2 linked regions of the Alligator mississippiensis genome follow. The protein of the gene in region 1 interacts with the protein of each later gene in a pairwise test. Links are inferred from orthologs where the notes say so. Each region holds a gene or a part of one and is shown in the gene's direction. Other genes may lie near its edges.

What was found. The genes of interacting proteins can lie anywhere in the genome.
Region 2: the proteins of DTNB (region 1) and ZBTB9 interact in binary tests that used the Homo sapiens proteins (3 or more experiments, as listed by UniProt). The two-hybrid records come from large-scale screens. The link is inferred for Alligator mississippiensis from reciprocal best matches to the Homo sapiens genes DTNB and ZBTB9.

Annotation. Positions count from the first base shown.
Region 1 is NC_081824.1:1,020,936-1,028,838, reverse strand, and holds the start of DTNB (dystrobrevin beta), read left to right. Parts: upstream 1-4,890; 5' UTR 4,891-5,004; intron 5,005-6,214; 5' UTR 6,215-6,293; intron 6,294-7,903.
Region 2 is NC_081834.1:64,914,192-64,920,615, forward strand, and holds ZBTB9 (zinc finger and BTB domain-containing protein 9), read left to right. Parts: upstream 1-4,148; coding exon 4,149-5,588; 3' UTR 5,589-5,894; downstream 5,895-6,424. Other genes in the region: SYNGAP1 (ras/Rap GTPase-activating protein SynGAP), read left to right, coding at 1,150-1,308. UniProt on the Homo sapiens protein: May be involved in transcriptional regulation.

The DNA of each region.
Region 1 (7,903 bases):
CAAGGTGGAATACAGACCTTATATCTTCAATTACACTTCTAGGCTCTGCTCCAACATTGAGATGTGCTAGCATGAACCTCTATTCGCATAGAGGCCATCCATAGGTACATCCATTTTTGCACTGGCTTATGCTTTGTTCACATTCAGAAGGATTATTTCACATCTGTGACGTCTAATCTCCCGTTACCACTTCCTTTTACTTTGTAGCCTGGTAGTTAGGACACTCTTCTAGGATGTGGGATACTCAAGTTCAAGTCGCTTCTTTTTCTGAGAGGACTTGATTCTATATCACCCACTTCCCAGGAAAATACTCTAACAATCAAACTATAGATGTTCTGGTGTGGGATGCTAGGCATGAGTTTAAATCCTGTCAGGTAAACCCCAGCCTCTTATATCCCATATAAGTGCTCTAACACCGGACTATTAGGTAAAAAAGGGGACACCTCCTCTTCCTCTGCCTTTTTTTTTTTTTTTGAAGAAAGGCTTTGACACCTAACTCCATGAGAAATTACAGCTGTGAATCCTAATCAGACATATACATTTTCTTGCAGCCCACAATTAAATGTCTTAAATCTCTTGAGAAGAACAGCCCTAAAGCCACATCCCAGTCATTGGCATTCCTTTAAACAACTTAAACTTCGGAAAATCTCTTAAAAATAAGACCACCATTCAAACTGCAGCGTCTAAATCACCAACAAAATGCCTCAATACTAATTTAAACAACAATTTCAGATGGGGATGTCTGAAAATTGGCCCAGGTTCTCCGTTTGGAGAAAGTATGAATTTGATTGCTTTGCCTTCTACTTCAGCAAATTAATCAGGCCTAGGGTCAGTGAGGATCTAGTCAGGGGACTTCTGGAGGGACTGGACGTATTTAAATCAGCTGGTCCTGATGATCTCCACCCCAGAGTGCTGAGGGAACTGGCAGAAGTCATTGCGGGACCCCTGGCATGGCTTTACGAGCACTCGTGGTGCTCTGGGGTGGTGCCAGAGGACTGGAAAAGGGCCAATGTGGTTCCCATTTTCAAAAAAGGGAGGAAGGAGGACCCAGGAAACTATAGGCCCGTTAGTCTTACTTTGATCCTGGGTAAGCTTTTTGATGGAATTATTCTGGAGCATGTCCATGAGGGGCCGGCAGAGGAGGTTATGCTTAGGGGCAACCAACATGGGTTCATTAGAGGCAGGTCCTGTCAGATCAACCTGGTGGCCTTCTACGACCAGGTCACAAAATCCTTAGATGCAGGGGTAGCAGTGGACGTAGTCTTTCTGGACTTCAGGAAGGCCTTCGACACCGTCTCTCACCCCATTCTCATTAAAAAACTAGGGGACTGTGGCGTCGACACCTACACAGTCAATAGGGTCGCTAACTGGCTGGAGGGTCGCACCCAGAGAGTGGTGGTGGACGGGTCGTTTTCGACCCGGAGGGATGTGGGCAGTGGGGTCCCCCAGGGATCAGTCCTCAGACCCGCGCTGTTCAACATCTTCATCAGCGACTTGGATGAGGGGGTAAAAAGCACCCTGTTCAAATTTGCTGACGACATTAAGATGTGGGGGGATGTGGGCATGCTAGAAGGGAGGAATAGGCTGCAATCAGACCTAGACAGGTTACAGGGGTGAGCAGATGAGAACAGGATGGGTTTCAACACTGACAAGTGCAAAGTGCTGCACCTGGGGAGGAAGACCCAGCAGCAGACCTACAGGCTGGGGAGCTCCCTTCTCGTCAGTGCAGAGGCAGAAAAGGGCCTTGAAGTCATTATTGATGCCAAAATGAACATGGGCCGACAGTGTTGGACGCGGTCAGGAAGGCCAACCACACCTTGTGCACCCACAGATGCATCACGAGCAGGTCCAAGGAGGTGATCCTCCCCCTCTATGCAGCACTGGTCAGGCCGCAGTTGGAGTACTGCGTCCAGTTCTGGGCACCGCACTGCAGGAGGGATGTGGACAGCATGGAGAGGGTCCAGAGGAGGGCCACCTGCATGGTCAGGGGGCAGCAGGGCAGGCACTACAAGGAGAGGCTACGGGACCTGAACCTCTTCAGCCTCCACAAGAGAAGGCTGAGGGGGGGATCTAGGGGCCTGTTACAAACTTGTCAGGGGGACCAGCAGGCATTGGGGGAGTCCCTGTTTCCCCGAGCACTACCAGGAGTGACTAGAAATAACGGTCACAAGCTGGCAGAGGGCAGATTCAGACTAGACATCAGGAGGCGCTACTTCACAGTCAGGGCAGCTAGGATCCGGAACCAACTTCCTAGCAAAGTGGTGCTGGCTCCTACCCTGGGGGTCTTTAAGAGGGGGTTAGACGAACACCTTGCTGGGGTCGTTTGACCCCAGTACTTTTTCCTGCCATGGCAGGGGGTCAGACTTGATGATCTGCTCAGGTCCCTTCTGACCCAACCAACTATGAAACTATGAAGTTGCCACTGTGATGTGACGTGATGGACTAAAACCTCTCAAGACCAAGAAATACCAAGTTAAGGCAATGCAAATTTAGATTTCAGAAAACCAGAAAAGAAAACACCTGTACAATGCGAACTTTCCTCTGCCTGCTGGAGCTAACAATAATCATTGGGAATGATTCAGTAAGGAGCTGACATCAAAAGCTGGAAGGAGCTGATTGCCAACTGACCCCAATGACACCTTAACCTCAACCAAGTGGCAGCCCACTTTGAGGTAAAGTTTTTTGCTCTCAAAGCAGAGAGTGCAGAGAAAGGAAAAGGAGAGAAATCCTTGCCTGCAGCCTACTCTCCCCTGTGGAAAGACCTGCAACTTCTGTGGATGGATTTGTGGCTCAAGCACTGGACTCTTATGTCACCTCAAACCCGTCAATGAGCCATGGTAGAGATCATCACTGAATCGAGGAATTGCTGCTGATGACAACCACACGTGATTCTGACCACTCCAGCACCCATGTGCTGCTCTGTGACCACCCAACCAGACCTTTCTCCTCCATGATCCATTTTCCTGTTAAACTTGAAGGAGCCATGAGAAAGTGATGGTGCTATTTTAGGACACGTACCAGCTGGGGCTGGATCTGTAAAATTCCTATGCCAAATCTTGCCTTAGCACATAAAGGAATTCTACGTTTACATCTGCAGCATCAGAGGCTCAAACCAGCATGAAGTGGCCCAGTTACTCCAGGGATTTGTTCTCTCCTGAATAACGCCCCTTTGGAAATGGAAACAGAATGAAGAAGTTGCTTAGGGACGCAGGAATTGAATCATTCGTTTCAATGGGAGTTCTTGTGCTGCCTTTCATTCTGTGTTTGGGCCCTGTATCAGATTTCCCCTTTTTCAGTTCCCAGCTGTGATCTAAGCATTGTGTACCATCAGGCAATTGACATGCCCGTTTGCAGCCCCTCGCTCCATCTCAGCACCGAGTGCCTGCCACGTTCCCATTCCCATTCCTCACTGGTCTCGGCACTTCAGCTTTTGGAAGGGGGACTGAAATGCAACATACAGGTGTGGGGGCAGAAATGAAGTCCTCACACCTCGCTCTGCCCCTCTTCATATCCTTTTGAACACTTGTGTACTGGTCTGACTTATCAGTCCTCCTGCCACATCTGACGAGATTAATTCCTTCCCTCACTTGGCCCCGTTGTTCAAGAAGAGTGTGAAAAATACAAATACTTACCTGAGGCTTTTATCCTCATCTATTTAATGCTTATGTCTTCAACGCTACTTCTAGAGTGAAACTGGAGCCTGCAAATGGGTTTGAAAGTGCTTACAAATACCCGTCGGACCATCAGTTTTAGCCTTGAGGCAAAACTTGCAAAACGTAGCTGGGGAAACTGCGGGCAGAGGCTATCGAACAGGTGTGTAACGTGCTCCGAAAGCTGCCGCGGGCAGGGCTCAAACTCAAACACGCATCCGTAGAACGCTAATGCACGTAGTCCTCACGGCGCCACAGTTATTTTTCATACCGAGGTCATAAACCTGTGCAGAAATAACAATAATTCATCTTAAAATGTCACGAAGATCCGATTTCGTGGATTATTTTTATTGTGCGGGGCCTCTTCAGAGGGATGTCGCTTAGGGCCTCCGCACGTCATCGCGATCCGGACTCCCGGTTGCCCGTCAAGCCTCGTTTTAGGCAGCAAGCGCGTCTTCTTTCGTCCTGCGCAAGGGGCGACATTGACCCCCGGGCTTGGCGCCCCGCCAGCCTGCGCCGGGCCCAGTTCGGAGCTGTCCGCAGGCAGGCCGAGGCCTAGAGCGCGCTTTGCCCTCAGACGGGTCCTGGCGCGACCCCGGGAGGCAGGTGGGAGAGGCTCGGTGAAGCACGACGTGGCCCCCACGGCCTGGAAGCTGAGGGGAAACCTCCATTTCAGCACTTGCCAAATCTCACAGTTTTTGGCGTTGTTCTTAAATTCTGCACTTTGCGGATGTGACTGACTGAGGTCTTTTACATACATGTATATCCCTCTATGTATGTATGTATGTATGTATCTCTCTATACGTGTACATCTATAGGTATCCACGTCTCTCACAGCCCACAAACACTCAAGGCCTGTCCCCTCAGAGCCACGCCCCCCTACTGCGCCTGCGCGCTGCGGAGGAGGCGAGGGGGCCGCAGGCGACTGTTGGGGGCGAGGGGCGGCCGCCGATGATTGGCTGGGGGCGAGGGGCGCATGGAGGTGCTCGCTGATTGGCCGGGGGCTCGCGGGAACGCACGCGACGCACGGAGCGCGTCGCCGATTGGCCGGAGGAGCGTCACGGGGCGGGAGGGAGGAGGAGGAGGAGCAGGAGGGGGAGGGGTTGGGCCAGCGCTGCCGGCGGATTGGCTAGAGCGGGCAGAGGGGGCGGGGAGGGGCAGGCAGCCGCCGCCCCGGATTGGTCGGTGCGCGCGCGCCCCTGCGGAGGCGTGCCGCGATTGGCTGGAGCCCGCGAGGCGGCCGGGGACCGTTGGAGCGCAGCGCAGCGCAGCGGAGCGGCTGAGGCGGTTTCCGCAGAGGACGGGGACGGCGCGGCCGCCTGCTCCGCTGCCCCCGGGCCGCCGGCCGGGGAACGTGAGTGCGGATGTGGGGCGGGGCGGGGCGGGGCGGTGCGGGCTCGGGGCGTCCCCTTGCGCCAGGGGGGGTGGGGGCTGCGGCCTGGGCCCCCCCCCCAAACCCGTCCTGCCCCTCCCCTCCCCCCGCCCCGTCCAGCTGCCCTCTCGTCGTGCAACACCATGGCGGGACGGGAAGGGACGGGACCTGCCGGGGCCGCCTTGAAGCGTCTGCCCGCGCGCCAAGGGCAGGGCGCGTTGGAAGAGAGCATCTCCCTGCGCCCTCGGCGGCGAGGCCAGGGGCTCCCCACCTGTATTTCGCGGTTTGGGTGTCATACAAACCTCCGAGCCGCCCCTGAGGCCTTCCCGCGCGCCCCCCCCCCCGCTTCTCGGGAGAGGGTGGAGCGGGGCGCGGCGGGGAGCAGCCTCTTCGGGGGGTGGGGGGGTGAAACTTTCCGAGGAGGAGCGCGGTCAGGCAGGAGAGCGGGCGGCTAGAGGTGCGGGGGGGCGGGGGCTGGTAGCAGCGCACGGCCGCGCTGGGGCCACGTTGAGGGCTCGGCGAGTGGGCACGCGAGGGGAGAACCGGGGGTAACGGCCACTAGCTCCTGGACCATCGATTCGGGCTCAACGTCAGGGAACACTTCTGCACGTTTGGGGTGTCCAGATGTGGAGACTGGACGGTCCCGTCGCCGGGGTTGCCTGACCCCACGTGTCTTCCCTGCCGGGTTCAGGGGGCTGGACCCGACGATCCTCCGAGGTCGCGTCCGCCCTGACAAGCTGTGCGCCTCCGTCCTTGGAAGCTTTGAGGAGCAGGCTGGACGGACACGCGGCTGGGATGATCCTGCCTTGAGCAGGGAGCTGGACTGGATGCGACCCCGGGAGGTCCCCTCCGGCCCGACGTGCTATGGTTCACCTTAGCCGTGACCGGGTCCCGTGGCGAGAAGCAGACGTAACGTTCGTGAGACTTCTAGAGCAGCGGTTCCCAATCTGCGGCACGCGAACGCAGACAGCCCGCCGGTGGTACCTGTTCACAGACTGATTATAATGACTTTATATGACAAAAACGTGCCGGGGGGTACTTAAGCTTGAACTGAAAAGTTTGCTGGCGGTACTTCAGGTCGTATCGTGCGCAGCCTGTCGGTTTGGGAACCGCTGTTCCAGAGTGAAAAGTGAGCTGGGAAAATGGCGGACCTTGTTTATAGAGGACAAAACATTTCTTTTTCCTTTTTTAGGTTGCCTTTAAAAGTACAAAGAGGAAATTGTGTATAGAAAAGTGAAAGTTGTCCCTAGAAAGCTTCCTGTGTGATCCAGGTAATGCTGACTGTTGTAACCAGCCTGTGATATCAAACATATATGCGCATAGGTGCAGATACATTAACGAAATTATTGAGTTAGTGTCTCATAATGTATATTTAACAATTCGTCCAGGGCAAATGCTTAGTACAGAGCAGTGACTTGTACATCTAGACCTGTGAAAAATTCTTTGTAGAATGTCAAAAGTGCCTGCAGCCACATCCATGGTAGGGAAGGTTAGGCCTGATGAATATTGATATAGGAGACCTGCAAAGAAAACTTTGATGGTCTGGACAGTGTTGATTCAGTAGGTGGCACTCTTCCCTTTGGAACTGAACCATTATCCCAACATTGCACCCTTTTGGGTAGGACTGTGCTGCTGAAAGTACCGTTTTCAAGTGTTTAAAGCTAAATCTCGGCATTACCAATTGACTACATTTCAGCTTGGACTACCTCCCTCCAAAATATCCTTAGTAGTTTCAGATGGAGAAGCTTTTCTTCATGTCTTATGTTCTCAATTTTTCTGCAAAGTGTGACTGCTGATACTGGCTACCGTGATCTATAACAGGCCTGTCTAACTGGTGCTCTGTCTCTTAGTGGCTGGCCTCCCCCCGCCATTGCTCTCCTGTGCTGGTCTCTCCCTCCCTCTTCCAGCTTCCATTTCCTGCCCACAGCTTTGAAGGTGGGGCATCATGGGGTGGCCCTCGTTGCATGTTCGGTTGGCTCCTAGCTACTTAGAAGCACACCTGATCTCCAGCGGTGGGGACAAATATCTTTGTCAGGCGTGCCACAAAGTAAGCCCTGCATCCACCCTGAGTGTCACCCTTATCTGTTACCCCTGACTGATCTGTTGCTCTGCTTTCTCCCATTGCCCTGTGCTCCCTGCTTGACCTGTTCCTTTGCTTTCTATTCTCTGTCCTATCTGCTGTTGTGTTCCTTGGTTTCCTCCCTGATCTGTGCACTACACAGGAAGGCTTCCCATGCCATTTGTGGCATGCGCGCTGCAGGCTGGGACACCTGGACTTGGATGCAATTTTAATTATAGGCCAGTAATGCAAAACATGTATACATATATATTTCCAGACAAATCTTTGTAAATAGGGAGTTGAAATTCAGAGTTCATAATACTGAGTTGAGGGAGAGTAAAACAAAAAGGACATGGATGTTTCAAGTATCCCCCCAAAAATGTTACAAACCCATTTGAAAAATTCAGACTAGTATTATCAGGTAAGAGATGTAGAAAACTTTTGTTGTCATGTAATGACATCAGGCAAAAAAACCCCATACAATTAGGATCTTATTTTAGTTTTTTGTGATCCCAAATCATATTAGTCCAAACTGTAATAATTTTTTTAAAACATTTTTTATGTGGTTCTGTCCTTACTGTGTTACAGAGTTTGTTGTTTGGGAGTCTGACTGATGTATTTATATACCTTAATATTTCTTTTTAATTAAACTTTGAATGTCCTGGGTATGTAAAGCTTATTTTTGTTGGTTGTTTTTGGGGTTTTTTGTTGTTGTTGTTAGGGGTTTTTTTTAAGGATAGCTGTATAATGTTACGGACCATCTTGAACATAGAAAAGTTAGGAATTGTGTGGAAAAGTTGAATACTATCATATGAATAATTG
Region 2 (6,424 bases), on another chromosome or scaffold:
GGGCAGCAGCTGGGAGGCAGAGGGAGGACATCCTTGTGCCTCTGCCCCCCTGACTTTTGGAGGTTCCTGGTTCCCTAAGGCTTGGTTGCTGGGGATGGGGTGTCTGTCTGTCTGTCTGGGGGGTGCAGGGTGCATGTCATGGGATGTGTGTGCGTGTCCCTGTCTGGTGTGACTGTTGGGGACAGGGTGGGGGTCGGCGGGCTGTGCGATTCCAGCAGTGGCAACACAGTCCCCTGTCCGGAGAGGGCACCCCTGGGGGGCCCCTTGGTGCTGGATGACTGGCGTGAGAGGTCAGTGCCCAGGCTGGGCAGGATGGGCCGAGGGCTGGGGGGCCGGGGCAGCTCTTAGTATCAGAGATGGCTGGGGGCCCTGGGTGGGGGAAGGGGACAGCATGGCTAGACCTCATCTGTGCCCCTACCCTACCCTGCCCAGGCAGACAACACCTGGCGCCGCAAGGCGGGGGAGAACCTGGGACCTCAGTGCAGATGGGCGAGCTGGTGTTGGCACCATGTGGCATCTCCCTCGCAGGGGTCTGGGTCTGCCCAACGTGGTGTGGTGCTCCCAGGCCACCTGGGCCGTGGGCTGCCGGAGCCACTCCTCCTGGGAGGGCTGGCATCTGTGACCTGTACGGGGCGTGCAAGGCCGAGGGCAGTGCAGGTTGGCCCCCCAGCCGTTAGGCCCACCCCCCGGTGCTTGCCACTGGCTGCTAACTCTCAAGTCCCTAGGTTCTGGCAGCGTGTGCTGAGCTGCGTGCATTTTGCCCTTGTCTCTGGGGCCAGGTGGGGAGCAGACCTTGCATCTCCTGGGTCCTCCGCTCCGCCCAGAGCCTGCAGTCCTCATGCCCACTGCTGGCATGAGGCACCGTTTCCTCAGGGCACAGGGCTTGCATGAGTTCCTGCTGAAGAGTCCTGCCAGGTGCCGCGCCTTGCTGTGTCCCCCCGGGGAGCAGGGCCCCAGCATTCCTCGTGGGCTGTGGGCCTGGCCTGCAGCGTGTCCCTGCGAGGCAAGGGGAGCCCGGCCATCCAGGACAGCCTGTGGCGGAGGGCCTCAGGCGCGGCCGGGGCCCAGTGCAGAGCGGGTGGGGGCGGCGTGGCCATGTCCCGTGTGCCGTTAATAAATAAGCCCGTGCTCTGCATGTCTGCGTTGCAGGAGAGGCAGCTTTCCGCCGTGGGTGCAGCAGACTCGCGTGTGAGCGGCGCCCTGGGGCCGCCCTGGAACGGGATGCTGCCCGCCCAGCCCCCGCCTCCGCCCCCGCGACTCCAGATCACGGAAAATGGAGAGTTCCGCAACACCGCTGCTGAGCACTAGCCACTGCCCCCGCGGGATGTGGCGCCGGGCCCCGCGCCGGGCGGACCCTCCCTGCCCGCCGCTGCCGCCCGCACGCCCGCCCGCGGCTCTGGGGGCGCAGCAGAGACCCTGGCCGGGACATGGCGCCCTCCCCCTCGGCCCCCGCATCGCAACCGAGCAAGCAAGCAAATAAACCCGCCCTCTTCTGGGGGGAGGGGCCCCCCACTCCTGCCCCCCTTTGCGCACCAGCCCCTGCCCTGCCCCTGCCCCTGCCCCAGCCCCCCATCACGCCGTCCCTCGGGGAACGGTGCGACTCTTCAAACACAACTTCAGGGTGTTTTATAGCAGGACACAGATGACAATCTTACATCCACCCCTCCCCACCACCTGCCCCGACGCTCTCCCCTTGGCCCCCCCACCCCTCGTCTATCTCAGGAGTGCCCCCTACCCCATGGCAGACTGTCCATTGAGTTGCCCCCTGGGGGCCCAGGTGTCTATGCCTTGGCCGGGGGCGAAACACCCCACCCACCCCACTGCCTCTGAGCTGCCTCATTGCTGGGGCATGGGGGAGTGTAGCGCCAGGCTGAGCCCCAGGGAGACTGCCTGGGGTGAAGCTGTGGGCTTTGGGGGGTTGTGAGACCTGCCAGGGGGGCCTGGCTGGCTCCGGCTCCCCTGGGCATGGGGCGGGAAGAGGGTCCTGATTCTGCCCCTGCCCCCCCAGCAATGGGGAGTGTGGGGACAGGTGCCCGTGGCTGGACCGAGGATCCTAGCACTGAGGCCCTGGGTCCTGTCCCTGCCCCTGCCCCAAGATTCCCCTGCAAACCTGCCCCCGCCCCTTCCCTGCAAGGCAGGGTGACCCCCGTCCCTGGGGAGCCTCCCCTCTTGCTGGGGGCAGTGCTGGGCTCTGCCCCCGGCTCGCCCTGCCACCCCTGCCCCGCCTGGCGCCGGTGTGGGGGGAGGAGGGTCTCCCACGCCGCCGCCTGCCCCAGCCCTGCTTTCTGTGCTCTCTACTCCGACAAAGGGCTTTGCCTGCTCAGCGCCCACCCGCCCGCGGCCTGGCCAGCGCCCCCGGCCCCCGGACACGGACACTGGGCTGTAGCTGCCTGGGGGAGACGGGGCACCACGGGAGGGGCTTTCTCGTTCTTTCTTTCTTTTCTTTCTCCGTTTCCTCCCGGTCTCGAGACGCCCCAGGCCCTGCCCCACGGGGCGAACGTGGGGGCAGGGGGGGAACGCGACCACCGACCAACCAACGGGAAATCTTGAAGAAGCCATTTCTCTGCCCACCCGCCAGCGCGGGCACGGGCCCTGGGTGGGGGTGGGGGTGGGGGGCGCCGGTCCTACCCCCTGGCCTGAGCACGGAGAACTGGAGGGGGCCTGTTGTGGCTGTTCGCCGTCGTGCTATGGTCCGACCTGCTGGGTGAATGTGTTCAGCGCAGTGATTGTACTGGGTGTTTCTTTGCTGTTTCTGTGTCTCTATTTCAGACTCCCGGCTAGGGCCACCCTCGCCCTTCACCGGCCCCCAGCCCCTCCTCCCTGTGGTCCATATTTCTTTTGTAAGGCCTCACGCCTGCCCTCCCTCCACCGCCCTCCCCCCCCCCCCCATCCCGGACGAGGGCGGCGCCGTGATATTTATACGTATTAATTATTATTATTATTAATGATTATTATTATTATATAAAAGTTTGTACATATGTGAAATTTTCTCGGCTCCCGCCCCTCCACCCGGCCGCGCTGCCCCTCTCCCCTGCCCGTCCCTGGGCTGGGTGCTGTAATTACCACCGGATTTGTACTGTACATAGACCTCTCTGGACCTCACTCTCTGTACATAGCCCGCCTGCCCCCCCCGCCCCGGGAAGGGAGCTCAGGTGTGAGCCCGGCGCCCGCTGGTGCCCCCGGGCCTCTCTCTTCTTTTCTTTTTATTATTCCGCCCCCCCGGCCCTTTTCTTTCTTTCTTTCTTTCTCTTTCTTTCTTTCCTTTTTTTTCTGGAGTGTGTGGTGACAACATCGGAAACAAATGAAAATGTTTAATAAAAAGCGATTGTTCTTTTACGCCGCCTCGGCCCCGGGGTGCTCGCGGCAAGGCCGGGCCGGGGGGGCGGCGGGGCGGGGCGGGGGCCCGTGCCGGGGGCGACTCACGCACATGTCCGCTGGGCCGCGCGGGGAGGGGGCGTGGCCAACCAAAACCCAGCTCGGCAAGAAGCTCGAGAGGCCCTGCGATTGGCTCCTTCTAGCCAATCAGGTCTCAGGTGCTGGGAGCTGGCGCCCCGCCCTCCGGCGGTGGCGGCGCTGGTTGGCTGGCGGGAGGAAATGGCTGTCCGCCGGGCTGGGCGCTGGTAAGCTTGTGGAGGGGGGGGTTAGTTTCTGGTTGGCCGCCTGCGGAGCGGCGGTGGCGGGCGCTCCCGAGAGAAGCCCGGCGCGTGGGATACATCGTGGTCGGTCGCGTAGGGCAGGGCAGGGCAGGGCGCCGGGGGCTGAGCCCTGCAGCAGCGGCGGCGGCACGGGCGGCTCCCGCGGTGGAAGCGGCCTGCCTGGGGCGCTTCTCGGGCTCGGCCCGCGCGGGGCAAGGCCGGGTGTTTCCTGGTGTTGAGTGCCGGTCGGCCCGCGGGGCGGGGCGGGGCGAAGCGGTGCCCGGGGTTGAGTGCCGGTCGGCCCGCCCGGAGGGGCGGGCGCTTCCCAGGGTTGGGTGCCGGTCGGCCCGCGCGCGCAAGGGAAGGAAGGGGCGGGGCGCTTCCCGGGGTGGGTGGGCTGCAGTGGGCCCGCGGGGGAAGGGGCTGGGCGGCGGAGCGGGTGCGGGCTCCGGTGGCAGCGCTGCCCGGCGTGCCGTGCCCGGCCCGGCCCGGCCCGGCCCGCCCGGCGGCGCGATGGAGGCGGCGGCGCGCAGCGTGCAGATCGAGTTCCCGCACTTCGCGGCCGCGCTGCTGGAGACGCTGAACAAGCACCGGCTCGAGGGCAAGTTCTGCGACATCGCGGTGCACGTGCAGGGCCGCGTGTTCCACGCGCACAAGAGCGTGCTGGCCGCCGCCTCGCCCTACTTCCACGACAAGCTGCTGCTGCAGGACACCAGCTGCCTGGCGCTGCCCAGCGTCATCGAGCCCGACGCCTTCGAGAACCTGCTGCAGCTCATCTACTCCGGCCGCCTCAAGCTGCTGGTGGAGGCGCTGCCCAGCCACCTGCTGGTGGCCAGCGGGCTGCAGATGTGGCAGGTGGTGGACCAGTGCTCTGCCATCCTCAAGGAGCTGGAGGGCGGCCCCTACCGGCCCTGGTCCAGCCGCGCCAGCGAGAGCCAGTCCCCCAGCAGCAGCAACTACTTTGCGGTGAAGGAGGACGGGGAGCTGGGAGGCGGCGGGGAGCGCGGCATGGCGGCTGTGGCCCGCGGGGTGCCGGGCTGCCCGGACGATGAGGTGATGAAGATCCGGGTGTCCCATGAGGAGGAGGAGGAGGAGGAGGAGGACAAGCACCCGGCCGGGATCTGCAGTGGGTCCCTGGACAAGTCCATGAAAATCGTGCTGAAGGATGATGAGGAGGTCGGGCTCGGCGTCTCCAAGGGCCCGGCCTCCGCTGAGCCGGACGGCCCCTTCCCCAGCCCTCGAGACCACCCCAAAATCTACTACATCAAGCAGGAGCGCTTCGACCCAGAGGAGGCTGCAGTGGCGGCGCTGGGTGGTGGGGCCGGGGCTGTGGGCGAAGCCTGCTTTCTCAAGTCGCTGGCACAGGGCCGGGCGCTGGGCATAGCCGAGGTGCACGGCCTCTACCAGGCCAGTCTGCCGCCAGGCAGCAGCAGCGAGGTCAGCTACATTATCCCGGCGGCAGGCAGCACTGCCACCAGCGCTATCGCCTCCTCCTCCTCCTCGCTGGCCGCCCCCGGCTTCACCATCAAGGCCCAGCCCCTGCCCTCGGACGAAGTCGGCTTCCCCCAAAGCTCCTGGAAGCCGGTGGACCTGCACGGCAACGAGATCATTGCGCACACGGTGCACGGGCAGGTGGTGCACGCGCCGGTCAAGATCGTGGCGGCGCCTGACGGGAAGAAGTTCGGCTGCCTGTGTGGGAAGCGCTTCGCCGTGAAGCCCAAGCGGGACCGGCACATCATGCTGACCTTCAGCCTGCGCCCCTTTGGCTGCTCCGTCTGCAACAAGAAGTTCAAGCTCAAGCACCACCTCACCGAGCACATGAAGACGCACGACGGGAACCTGTACTCCTGCGAGGACTGCGGGCGCAAGTTCCGTGTCCAGAACTGCTTCCTCAAGCACAAGGAGCTCTGCAAGGGGCAGGGCTGGGCCACTGCCTGCTGGACCTACAAGTAGACTGGGGCGGGCGGGGACAGCCCCGCGCCACATCCCGCCAGGCCGGGCCCTGCCTGACCGCTCTGCCCCCCATGCCTTTGGGTTCCCGGCCCCGTGGCCGGCGCCCTGGTGCTGGGGCACGTGGGAGCTGGCGATTTGGGCCCTGCGGCTTCAGTGCTGCGATGCTGGCCCCGGGAAGGAGGTGGTGCAGGGCGGTTGGGAAACACTAAGGGGGTAGCTGTGGGTGGGGGAGGGGGGAGCGTGTGCAGCCTTGTGCCAACCCGTTCTTGTATAAACAGTTGCAGCCCGGCGTGGGGCCGTCCGGGATCTGTCTGTCGGCCTCGTCTGTCCCCCGCGGGGGGAGGGGGCAGAGCGGCCTGGGGCCGGGGCCTGTGTTGCCCTCACGGCCTCCCCGGGGCAGCGGGGCGGGCTCGGCCGGGGGCTGCCCCGACCTGGGGGCGGGCTCGGGCGGCGCAGCCTGGTGGCTGTGACCTGCCACATGACCAACGTCCGTGCCCCTGGCCCTTGGCGTGCGTGACCTCCTGGGGGCGGGAGGTGGGTCGCGTGGCTACGCCCCCTGCCCCTTTGGCCGACACCGAGGCTGATTGGGCCGGCCGCGGAGGGCGGAGAGGGGTGCCGGCCAATCGCCCCGCAGCGGAAGCGGCCCTTCTTGCCAATCCGGGCGGCGGGGCCCGGGCAGGGAACGCGGCCGGGGGGCGTTGCCCTGCGTGGGCCAATGGCAGGTGAGCGGTGGGGGGCGCGAGCGGAGGGAGGCGCGCAGCCAATGGGCTGGGGGCGGCAGTGACGTAACGGGGGGAGCGAGGTTTGAAAGCGGCGCGCGCTCGGGCTGGGGGCGG